Linked DNA regions of Astyanax mexicanus. The protein of the gene in region 1 purifies or fractionates together with the protein of each later gene. This does not show direct contact. Links are inferred from orthologs where the notes say so. Each region holds a gene or a part of one and is shown in the gene's direction. Other genes may lie near its edges.

Evidence for each region.
Region 2: the proteins of camlg (region 1) and tumor necrosis factor receptor superfamily member 13B purify together in Homo sapiens (affinity purification with western blotting; 3 studies listed by BioGRID and IntAct, with this or other methods). This does not show direct contact. The link is inferred for Astyanax mexicanus from reciprocal best matches to the Homo sapiens genes CAMLG and TNFRSF13B.

What each region holds. Positions count from the first base shown.
Region 1 is NC_064424.1:33,511,786-33,518,468, reverse strand, and holds the start of camlg (calcium signal-modulating cyclophilin ligand), read left to right. Parts: upstream 1-2,896; 5' UTR 2,897-3,075; coding exon 3,076-3,214; intron 3,215-4,186; coding exon 4,187-4,638; intron 4,639-5,271; coding exon 5,272-5,337; intron 5,338-6,012; coding exon 6,013-6,204; 3' UTR 6,205-6,683. Other genes in the region: arylsulfatase B, read right to left, coding at 1,820-2,080. UniProt on the Homo sapiens protein: Required for the post-translational delivery of tail-anchored (TA) proteins to the endoplasmic reticulum.
Region 2 is NC_064422.1:7,888,932-7,895,614, reverse strand, and holds the start of tumor necrosis factor receptor superfamily member 13B, read left to right. Parts: upstream 1-2,228; 5' UTR 2,229-2,245; coding exon 2,246-2,360; intron 2,361-4,079; coding exon 4,080-4,196; intron 4,197-5,600; coding exon 5,601-5,858; intron 5,859-6,683. UniProt on the Homo sapiens protein: Receptor for TNFSF13/APRIL and TNFSF13B/TALL1/BAFF/BLYS that binds both ligands with similar high affinity. Mediates calcineurin-dependent activation of NF-AT, as well as activation of NF-kappa-B and AP-1.

The sequences.
Region 1 (6,683 bases):
ATCTGGCACCTACTGTCGTGCAAGATGAGAACAGTGTGAAAAAAAAAATCCTTGACAAATCCTTGCACATCTTGCAGTGAGACTGTTGCACATGTGTACATTGCGATATCAATGCCGAAGCAATATATTGTGCAGCCCAAACCCTTACTCTTGCAGAGCAGTACACAGTAAACAGTTATATTGCATATAGTAGACGGTTGTATTCAACATGACTTTACAGTAGAGACAGTAAAGTTTGGTCTGCAGAGTGAGAGAGATGTAGTTTCACACCAGGAAGTTGTGTCAGGGCAGTTGTTTTTTGCTTTATCCAAGCGAGTGTATATTTATCTATAATTCAGCTGTTTGAGGTGGATTTCCAATATATTTGTGAAAGAATCTGAATTAGGCTAACACAAGGCTAATTTAAGCTTTTGACTATGAACATGTTTGTTGGGATGTATATAGACATTACTTCCGTAGGTGTTATAGTAATACATGTAAGAGTAGTGACAGCAGTAGATGTTATAGAATTACTTGTAAGAGTAGTGACAGCAGTAGCAGTTAAAGTAATACTTGTAGTAGTGACAGTAGTAACTAGCTGTTGTAGTTATTAGAGCAATACAGCAGCAGTAGCAGCACTGACAGTGGTTGTAGTACCTGTTACATTATTACTGTTACAGCAGCAGTTGCTGTAGTAGCTGTTACAGCAGCAGTAGCAGCATTAACAGTAACTACCTACAGTAGCTGTTACAGTAATGCAGCAGCAGTAGCAGCACTGACAGTAGCTAAAGCAGCTGTTACAGCACCAGTAGCAGCACTGACAGTAGCTGTAGTAGCTGTTACAGCAGCAGTAGCAGCACTGACAGCAGCTGTAGCAGCTGTTACAGCAGCAGTAGAAGCACTGACAGCAGCTGTAGCAGCTGTTACAGCAGCAGTAGCAGCACTGACATTAGCTGTAGTAGCTGTTACAGCAGCACTAGCAGCACTGACAGCAGCTGTAGCAGCTGTTACAGCAACAGTAGCAGCACTGACAGTAGCTGTAGTAGCTGTTACAGCAGCAGTAGCAGCACTGACAGCAGCTGTTACAGCAGCAGTAGCAGCACTGACAGTAGCTGTAGTAGCTGTTACAGCAGCAGTAGCAGCACTGACAGCAGCTGTAGCAGCTGTTACAGCAGCAGTAGCAGCACTGACAGTAGCTGTAGTAGCTGTTACAGCAGCAGTAGCAGCACTGACATTAGCTGTAGTAGCTGTTACAGCAGCACTAGCAGCACTGACAGCAGCTGTAGCAGCTGTTACAGCAACAGTAGCAGCACTGACAGTAGCTGTAGTAGCTGTTACAGCAGCAGTAGCAGCACTGACAGCAGCTGTTACAGCAGCAGTAGCAGCACTGACAGCAGCTGTAGCAGCTGTTACAGCAGCAGTAGAAGCACTGGCAGCAGCTGTAGCAGCTGTTACAGCAGCAGTAGCAGCACTGACATTAGCTGTAGTAGCTGTTACAGCAGCACTAGCAGCACTGACAGCAGCTGTAGCAGCTGTTACAGCAACAGTAGCAGCACTGACAGTAGCTGTAGTAGCTGTTACAGCAGCAGTAGCAGCACTGACAGCAGCTGTTACAGCAGCAGTAGCAGCACTGACAGTAGCTGTAGTAGCTGTTACAGCAGCAGTAGCAGCACTGACAGCAGCTGTAGCAGATGTTACAGCAGCACTAGAAGCACTGACAGCAGCTGTAGCAGCTGTTACAGCAGCAGTAGCAGCACTGACAGTAGCTGTAGTAGCTGTTACAGCAGCAGTCGCAGCACTGACAGCAGCTGTGGGTTCAGTGTGTGTACTGCAGTCTTACCTGGTACCTGCCGGTCATTAGTTGGTTCCTGGACGGGGTGCAGAGCGGCTGGACATAATACCCGTCCAGCCGGACCCCCGCTGCAGCCAGCCGGTCCAGTTCCGGGGTCCGGATCTCAGAGCCGCGAAAACCCACATCATTCCAGCCCAGATCATCCGCAAGTACGAAGACCACGTGCGGAGGAGAACCAGCTCCCCTACACACACTCACACACACACTCACACACACTATCAGGGTCTTTACCCAAACCTGCACCATCATACCCCTCTACACTCAGCACCAACACACACTCACTACTTCCTCATACTGTCCCGCGCACAGTCTGCTCATCTCTCTCACTCGCACTCTCTCTCTCTCACACACACACTCACAAGCGGACGGTTGGGGAAGTGTCTATAAAAGTACAACAAGTCTGCCCCTTCACTACATTACCCACAATCCTACGCTTACTTACAGGCTGATCACTCGACTCTGCTTGCTTTACACTGTATAAATACAAATACAAATACAAATACAAATACAAATAATAATAATAATAATAATAATAATAATAATAATAATAATAATAATAATAATAATAATAATAAGTATTAAATATTAAACATAATAATAAATATACTAATAATAATAATAATACATATTAAATATTAAACATAATAATAATAATAATACATATTAAATATTAAACATAATAATAATAGCACGTTTCACAGCGTTTTTATAATTTTTTTTATAAAATTACTGCAACTGCAACTGTTAAATTTGTTTACTACATTGTATATAAAATAATTTTATTATATTAATTATATTATAGAAAATCTACCATCAAACTCTACTGGTTTTGCTCTTTTCTAGATTATCTTCTTTTTCTTTTGTTAAACAACTTTTATCTTGATGTGTATTTCTTTACAGTGCATCTGTGCATTAAATATTCCATATAATTAACGAAATTTACTTTATATTTTTTTATTTTACTTGAATCTCTCTACTTAGTTCGTGTTTTTTTAATTCGGTGATTTAATCACCTTTTCGCCTTTTTTATTTTGAGTTCATTTTTTCACTAAGAGGACTTTTATTGTAGCTGTGCCGCCATTGCGCTGAGGGCCTGCAGTAGTGTGGTGTTTGTGTGCGCGCAGAGGATCCCGGAGCAAGGAAGCGGAGCGAGGATAAGGCAGTTAAACACAGGATTATTAAAGCCCCCGGAGAGAATCGGACCACCGGGAGCCGTAGGAGCGATTGGAGCGGGCAGAGAGGGGATGGAGGCCGGGGACGAGGCGAGCGGCCGCAGCGCAGCTCAGCGCCGGGCGGAGAGCAGGCGGAGGAGGCTGCTGCAGAACTCCGAGCAGAGGATGAACAGAATAGTGGGCTTCGGGAAGGGCGACGCGGATAGCAGCGGTCAGCACATTCATACAGAGAGCACATTTACACCCTAAACCAGTTAATGAACCGGGGAGGCCTGCTTATTCCTCAGGTAGTTACTGGGATTTACCGGTCTGCCTTACATGGTGCAGAAGGTAACTAACCCTGCTCCATTCAGGCGCCCCAGTTACTCTATCTCATAATGAGGAGTCAAATTCAGCTTAATCCCATTCAGCGCTTAGGGCTGGGCGATATGGCCGTGAAATAATATCACGATATTTCAGGGTGTTTTTGCAGTAATTCTTTTAAATACATTTCAAGAGTATACTTCTGCAACAAAATACATATAAATGTTTTATTTAGTACAAATTTATTCAGCTGAAACAAAATCTATAAATGTCTATTTTCTAGACAGTAGTTTACCAAGACTGTAGTGTTACAAAATTAAAAAAGGTAACAGAAATAATGTAATATAAACACAAACATCTACCACAGAACTTAAGTCCAGCTTAGTTAGTGCCTACATATAAACTGCAAACTATTAATAGAACAGTAAATGGCAAAACATAAAAAAATGATTGTGTATGACAAAATATAGCACACCCCTACTACACACTGTCCATTCCAACAGTATAGGAATATCCTTACTAAGGAGTGAATTGTGTTTTTTTTAAGGTGCACATATTGTTTTTGCCTTCTTGTGTTTGTTATAAACAACAAAACAACGTCTGTGAACACAAAGGAGTTTTCTAGGCTGTGGTTCTTTATGGACATGAAAGCTGTTCACACTTGAAAGTAACAATAATTATTTAGAATAAAATTAAGTTATTTTAGTATTTTTATTATTTTTTATTATAATAAAAAATAATAATACTTCTAATAACACTAATAACACTTTCTAATACTTTTTATACTAATAATACTTTAATACTAATAATACTTTCTAACACTTTTTTTTTTTTTCTAATAACACTTTCAACTGTTTCCCTTTCTCCGTCTTTCACATAGAAGCCCGACACACGATGGAGCCTCGCTTCCACCTAGACCTGGACCCAAATGATGCCTGGACGCCACCGGTGTCTTCTAAGCGCCTCTCTCCATACATCTCTGAGACGGGTGGCAGCAAAAACACAACCCCCAGCAGCACCCCTGAAAGGCGGGGCTCTCCCCTGCCGGACAGCAGAGAGGACCTGGGGGAGGATGACCTGTCCCGTGGGGTGCGACAGCGGCCACGGGGAGAGCTGTCCAGTGATGAGCACTCGCGCTCTCCTCGAAGGGGCCTGCAGAAGTACCTGTCCCGCTTTGACGACGCAATGAAGCTGCGGGGTCAGCTAGCGAACGAGAAGGCGGCACAGGACAGCAGCTCTGACCCGGAGGAGCTTGACCCCTTCCGTCTCTTCCGGCTCACCGGGAGTGTCCTTTTAGCTGTCTTTGTACGCATCTTCGTCTGCCAGTACTTGGTGAGTTGATGTTCTGAAAGAAATGCAGTTTGTTGTCAAAATGTGGAATTGTTTTAAAACTAGAGGAGGGGCGTGTGGTGTTTTTTTTAAACAGAACTTACAGAATCGATTCACTTTTTCAAAGTACTCAATAACCTTGGAGCTACCTGCTGGATTAAACACAAACACAGTTTCAATATTGATGTTTTAAAAAAAAAAAAAAAAAAAAAAAAAGAAAAGAAAATCTTGCTTTGGTTTAGAGGCAACTTTCCCTAATGGGGTAGCCAGTCTAATCCAAAGAGAGCCAAAGTCCTCCCACTGGGCCGAGTTTCGCAGTCAAAGCTATCCTCTATGGATTCGACTGGACACTAAGGCCTCAGATGAAGCTAAAATAGCTTCACAGAACATTAGGTATGCACGTTCCCTAGGTGTTTATAAATCCACTTTGTTTTTAGATTAGAACTGGTTGTATGTATATAGAGTTTAGATTACTCATTATTTTGTATAATTGTATAGTATAATTGTGCTATTATTAATTGTTCTGTTATTCTTTGTGCTATTATTTCATTTAAATCATGATAGCGTATAAACATTAATTGATATTACCATTGTTATTGCTTGTGTTTATGTGATGGTTTACTTTCTTTTTTGCAGTCAATATTTGCACCGTTTCTCACTCTGGAGCTGGCCTACATGGGGTTATACAAGTACTTTCCAAAGGTGCGTCATTACATCACGTTCAGCAATTTAAAGCAGTTTAAAGCTGATCTATCTAATCTCTGTATTACTCCAGGCTCAACGTACAAAAAAATCACAATGTAACTTGGGCTTTCTTGTCCAGAAATGCATTTGTAAACCCTGTCCAGTAAAAGTGACTTAAAAATCACTTTCCAACAAAAGCAGGGAATACCAATCTTCATCTCCACCCACTACACGTAGACTGTGCATTATAAACAGTCACACAGTACCCAATAACACTCACGCACTCAAATCACTCAATAAAAAAAATCTATTCAAACACCAATTATTTATTAGTGTCAAAAATTTACGGTTACATTTTATGTGTTTCTGTTGCGTTGTTCACAGCAATGTAATTTGGCCTCCTCCACACATCTGGATATTTTTTAAAACAGTTCGTCTGCCTCTCATCCACAAAAAAAATCATTTTGTGTTAACGTCTCTCTTTATGAGGGATGTTTACCCATACAGGCTAGCATGCTTATTCATGCTTATTCAAGTGTTATTCAAAGCAGACATTGAGGAAAGCGGCTGACAAACAGATATGTAGCCATAAAATGTATACAAGTGGGCAGAGGTTTGTGTTTATCAAATATTTTGGTTCTAATTTAAGTGGTTATTTAATATTTGTGATTTTTCTGTTTCTTTCTCTCTCAGGTGGAGAAAAAGTCAAAGACCACTGTCCTCACTGCTGCCCTCCTGCTGTCCGGCATTCCGGCTGAGGTCATTAACCATTCCATGGACACTTATCGGAAAATGGGCGACGTGTTTGCCGACCTCTGCGTGTATTTCTTCACCTTTATCATGTGTCACGAGCTCATCCTCTTGTTCGGGTCTGAGTCATCGTGATGGGTGGAGCATCGTTACAGTATGAAGGGCTGAATGCTGCCTGACCCTTTTACTTGTGCCGCTTTGTGAGCAGTTTTAGACCTTTCTCCTAAACCAACCCAGCGGCCTCTGAGCTTCAGAGCAGACCAGTGGGAGAAAATAATTTATTCTGAGCTGTAAAAATCTGTTTAACTTCAGCTGACGACACTAAGCTGGTTACCACACTGGTCAATAGCCGGTCACCAGCTCTGCTCCTAGAGAGTTCACTCTAACCCCTGATCCAGTCTGACCCAGACCCACACAGGTCCCCCTGTGTGTACGGGATCAGGAGCAAAGTTGGTGACTGCTGGTCAGCAGTTTATGCAACAGACATCTCATTCATAAAGCTTCTTTGAGCAGGAGAGCTGATCTGGGATCTGTCCCCCTGCTCATTTAGGCTATCTAGGCTGAGACTGAAATGGATCCCTATCTGAGATTTGTGGCACACTATTGAGTACTTT
Region 2 (6,683 bases), on another chromosome or scaffold:
AATGAACAGGGTTCTGAAAACACACCCGAAGCTCTGCAGCACACTCACTCTGCTCACTCCGCTCACTCCTCTCACTTCTATGGCTACTTAAGGTAGGTGTTTACCTGTACGCTCTCCCAGGCCGACAGACGTGCACTCTCCTGTGCATTCACTATCCTCTACAGGTGGATACACAGGTGGTGTTACTCTCAAGGCCTTGTCTTTTTAAAATTCTTCTTTATTATTATTATTTTTATTACTAATAACATTGCTGTTACCAATTGTGCAGAATGACCTTCCAGGCAAATATCACTCAAACATCATTACAACGTGTTTCTGTATATTTTTTATGAACTGCTGTTAGACTATAACTACTGAATACTCAGTACTAAATACTAAATAGTTGACTACTGTCTAATAAATACTGAAAACTAAATACTGATTACTGACTACTGACAATTGTATACTGACTACAGACTAATGAATACTGACTACTGAATACTGGTTATTGACAACAGACTAATGAATACTTACTACTGAATACTAAATGCTTATTATTGCCCACTACTAAATACCGATTATTAAACACTGCAGAATGAATATTGAATACAAAATACTGGCTAATATATACTTACTACAGACTAATGAATACTGGCAATACTAAATACTGATTATTGACCACTTTCTAATGAATACTGACTACTGAATACTGGTTATTGACAACAGACTAATGAATACTTACTACTAAATACAAAATACTGGCTAATATATACTGACTACAGACTAATGAATACTTACTACTAAATAATAAATACTTATTATTGACCACTACTAAATACCGATTATTGACCACTGCCGAATGAATATTGAATACAAAATACTGGCTAATATATACTGACTACAGACTAATAAATACTGGCAATACTAAATACTGATTAGTGACTGCTTTCTAATGAATACTGACTACTGAATGCTAAATACTGATTACTGACTACTGCCTAATGAATACTGAATACTAATTACTGACTGTTGATGATTATATGCTGACTACAGGCTAATGAACACTGACTACTGAATACTAAATACTGATAATCGACCACTGCCTAATGAATACTTACAACTAAATACTAAATACTGATTATTGACTACAGGCTGATGAATATTTACTACTGAATGCTAAATACTGATTATTTACCACTGGCAAATGGATACTGAATACTAAGCACTATTTCTGACTCCTGGCTAATATATTACTGACTACAGACTAATGAATATTGACAATACCAAATACTGATTATTGACTACAGCCGGATGTATACTAACTACTGACTAGTGAATACTGATTATTGACAGCAAACTAATGAATAATGAATAATAAATACTGATTATTGACTACTGAGGATTATATACAGACTACAGACTAATGAATACTGACTACTGAATACTAAATACTGATTATTGACTACATACTGATTAATACTGACTACAGACCAATAAATACTGACAACAGCATACTATATACTGATTATACAGTACTGACTAATGAATATTTACTTAAATATAATAATATACAAAATAAAAACTGGTTATTGACTACTGAATACTGACTACAGAATACAGACTAATACATACTGATGGCTGAATACTAAATACTGATTATAAACTACTGACTAATTAATGAAAACTGTCTACTGATTAACGTAATCATAGTGCAATAAATACTTAAGGATAACTATTGAATATTGATTTTGAAAACTGACAACTGACTAATACATTTTGACTACTGAAAACTGATTATTGCCTACTGACTAATTCTTATGGTATACTAATTAATGTAATAATAGCTTAATGAATGCTGACTGATGACTCATGAATATTGACTTGTAAAAAGTGACAACTGACTTATAAAATACTGAGAATTGGCTAGTATTAACTACTGACCACTGATTTCAATACTAACACTCTAACACTGATTACTTGCCAATATTTTACTGGCTGCAGAATACTGCTTACTGGCTGAATAACAACTAGGGCATCATTCATCAGTATTTTGTTGTAGAGAATTGATTATCAGCAGTTTTAGTCAGTAATCAATTAATTGATCAATTAATCAATACTGAATAACTACTATTTACTGACTATGGACAACAGACTCCGATTCAGTTTTCAGTGTGTTCTGAAGTGGTTAAGCGTTGTGTAAGTGTGTCAGTAGTGTGTTTAGTAAAGATTAAAGGTATGTGTGCAGGTGTGAGTATGGTGAGGAGCGATGGCAGGAACCTGTGCTGGAGGACAGTACTTGGACCGCCTGCTAAAACAGTGCATGCCCTGTCAGCTGGTGTGTGATAACCCTGACCCCCCCACTCGCTGCCTAGACTTCTGTGGTGAGTAACACACTGCTAACAACTCAGAGGCAGAACCAATCAGAATCTTTATTTCAGCTGGGGGTGAGACAACAAGAGCCAAACTCAGAGACATAACCAATCAGAATCTCTATTTCAGTTGGGGGTGAGACAACAGAGAGTCAAACTTAAAGGCAGAACCAATCAAAATCTGTATTTCAGTTGGGGGTGAGACAATAGAGAGCCAAACTCAGAGGCAGAACCAATTTAGAATCTCTATTTCAGTTGGAGGTGGGACAACAAGAGCCAAACTCAGAGACATAACCAATCAGAATCTCTATTTCAGTTGGGGGTGAGACAATAGAGAGTCAAACTCAAAGGCAGAACCAATCAGAATCTTTATTTCAGTTTGGGGTGAGACAAAAGAGAGCCAAACTTAAAGGCAGAACCAATCAGAATCTTTATTTCAGTTTGGGGTGAGACAAAAGAGTGCCAAACTTAAAGGCAGAACCAATCAGAATCTCTATTTCAGTTGGGGGTGAGACAACAGAGAGTCAAACTTAAAGGCAGAACCAATCAAAATCTGTATTTCAGTTGGGGGTGAGACAATAGAGAGCCAAACTCAGAGGCAGAACCAATTTAGAATCTCTATTTCAGTTGGAGGTGGGACAACAAGAGCCAAACTCAGAGACATAACCAATCAGAATCTCTATTTCAGTTGGGGGTGAGACAATAGAGAGTCAAACTCAAAGGCAGAACCAATCAGAATCTTTATTTCAGTTTGGGGTGAGACAAAAGAGAGCCAAACTCAGAGGCAGAACCAATTTAGAATCTCTATTTCAGTTGGAGGTGGGACAACAAGAGCCAAACTCAGAGACATAACCAATCAGAATCTCTATTTCAGCTGGGGGTGGAAGAAAAGAGAGCCAAACTTAAAGGCAGACCCAATCAAAATCTCTATTTCAGTTGGGGATTAGACAATAAAGAGTCAAACTCAGAGGCAGAAACAATCAGAATCTCTATTTTAGTTGTGGGTGAGACAATAGAGAGTCAAACTCAGTGGCAGGACCAATCAGAATCTTTATGTTAGCTGAGGGTGGTACAAAAAAGATCTCAACTCAAAAGCAGAACCAATTAGAATCTCTATTTTCAGCTGGCAGTGGGACAACAGAGAGTCAAACCCAGAGGCAGAAGCAATTAGAATCTCTATTTTCAGCTGGCAGTGGGACAACAGAGAGTCAAACCCAGAGGCAGAACCAATCAGAATCTCTATTTTCGCTAAGGGCGGGACAACAAAGAGTCAAACCCAGAGGCAGAACCAATCAGAGTCTCTATTTCTGCTAGGGGTGAGACAATAAAGAGTCAAACACAGAGGCAGAACCAATCAGAATCTCTATTTTCGCTAAGGGCGGGACAACAAAGAGTCAAACCCAGAGGCAGAACCAATCAGAATCTCTATTTTCGCTAAGGGCGGGACAACAAAGAGTCAAACCCAGAGGCAGAACCAATCAGTATCTTTATTTCCACTAGGAGTGGGACAAAACAAAGAGTCAAACTAAGAGGCAGATCCAATCAGAATCTCTATTTCAGCTGGGGTTGGGACAACAGAGAGTCAAACTTAGAGGCAGAGGTAGAACAATGTTGTTCCCTTCTATTCAGTACTTGGATTAAACTGGTGATGTAGATCATTTGTAATTAAACTGATGAAGATCTGATTTTGTGATCAGTCTCATTACAGCTCTTCTGACTGTCTGTTTACAGTGGCCTTCAGCTGTAAGGCTGTATCTGGGCAGTTCTACGACCAGCTGCTGAAGAAATGCTTGAAATGTTCGGAGCTGTGTGGCCACCACCCCTCAGAGTGCTCACAAGAGTGTCCGAGTAAGTACACAGCGGCCGTGTCCCAAATTCACTCTATGGGCCCTCATCAAGTCAAGTCAAGTAGTTTTAAAGTCAGAAAAAATGAATATTGAATACAAAATACTGGCCTGTATTTACTGACCAATAAATACTGGCAATACTAAATACTGATTATTGACCACTTTTAAATGAATACTGACTACTGAATGCTAAATACTGATTACTGACTAATAAATACTGAATACTAATTACTGACTACTGACGATTATATGCTGACTACAGGCTAATGAACACTGACTGCTGAATATTAAATACTGATTATTGACCACTGCCTAATGAATACTTACCACTAAATACTAAATACTGATTATTGACTACTGCCTAATGAATACTGAATACTAATTACTCACTGTTGATGATTATATGCTAACTACAGACTAATGAACACTGAATACTGAATATTAAATACTGATTATTGACCACTGCCTAATGAATACTTACAACTAAATACTAAATACTGATTATTGACTACTGCCTAACGAATACTGAATACTAATTACTGACTATTGACGATTATTTGCTGACTACAGGCTAATGAACACTGACTACTGAATATTAAATACTGATTACTGACCACTGCCTAATAAATACTTACAACTAAATCCTAAATACTGATTATTGACTACTGACTAATAAATACAGACTACTGAATATTAAATAGTGATTATTGACTACAGACTGATGAATATTTGCTACTGAATGCTAAATACTGATTATTTACCACTGCCAAACTAAACTAAACTAAAAATGGACAAAAATGCAGATACTTGTTTTTTATTGGACAGTGACGATATGTACAGGACATACAGAGGATTGAAATCATGTTACTCTTCTTCCCAAAAGTTACAACAAGTACAGCAAGATAAAATATAAATATAAAAGAACACAATACACTAAATGTACAATACAACAAGGCCACAGATATATACATACTTAAGACAAGAGACACAAGATAATAGTGCAATAGTGAGGGGGATCATTGTAAATGGGACCAATATAAACATTAGTGCAAAAATATAGAGGTATAAAAGCTTAAGGCTTAAGGGTAAAGTGAATGAATGCATACAGTTCTTTAAATGTCACAGTTGTAAAAGGAAAAAAAAGTTTGCACCTGCATTGTTTAAATAGCAACAGTGCTTGTGAATATATCGAAGACACACTGACACGCCACAAATCAAGCTGTGTGTTGCACTAAAGTGACTGGAGATTGCAAAAATAGGTCCCTATATGTTTTACATAATTGAGGCAGTAGTGATTACTGCTAATAAGTCCATGAAACATTGTTAACAACTCAAAATTTTCACCTTTTAAAGCGTTCTTCATCACAGTTTCCAATATCTCACACTCAATTCTCTCTGTCTACAGCTCGTGCTCCCACACCTGGAATCACAAGGCCTGGCAGCATCACTGCACTGCAGCCACGTGACCCCAGGGGGAGCCACAGGCCCAGAGAAGTGCCCCACTCAGAGGTGCTGGTGTACGCTCTGCTGGGCCTGTGTCTGGCCATGCTGCTGGGGACTGTGCTGGTGGCCCTGCTGGTGCTGCTGAGGAGAGCCAGGGGGCAGAAGGAGGACCAGGGGGAGAAGGTCCAGCAGCCAGACGGACACAGCCAGACATCTAAAGGTACCCTGTCGGCTCTGAAAAAACGAGAATGTTGTCTGTTATGTTTTATGGTAGAACATCAGCCTCCGCTGCAGAATCATACAAATATATATATATATATATATATATATATATATATATATATATATATATATATATATATATATATATATATATATATAAATAATATCTCAAAAAAGTTACTTTATTTCAGTGTTTCATTTCAAAACACAGATACACAGAGTGATCTATTTTAAGCATTTATTTATTTTTTTGTTGATGATTATGGTTTACAGGCAATGACATTCTCAGAAAATGTGAATATTATATAAGACCAATTGGCACTTTTGGCAGTGTGGGCAGTGTGCCAAGTCCTGCTGGAAAATGAAATCTGCTACTCCATAAAAGTTGTAAGATTTGTAAGGGAAAACACTGCGCTGACTTTGGATGAACACAGTGGATCAACACCAGCAGATGACATGACTCTCCAAACCATCACTGATTGGTGGAAACTTCACACTAGACCTCGATCAGCTTGGACTGTGTGTCTCTCCACTCTTCCTCCAGACTCTGCTCGGTCAGAAGCCACGTAAAATCGAACAAGCCTATTAACATCACAGTTTTTACAACATACAAAACAACCAATGAGAACACTTCAAGTACTGAAGACTCAATTCCACACGTCCTTTAAAATTTATAAACACAGCCAGTCATCAATTTTAACAAGAAAAGACATTTAGGCAAAAACACATGCAGAGGAAAAAACAACACCATCAACACCAAAATCATTTCCATAATTTTCCCCAAAAAACTCTTTTTGTATAAAAATACACTCAGGAAATACAC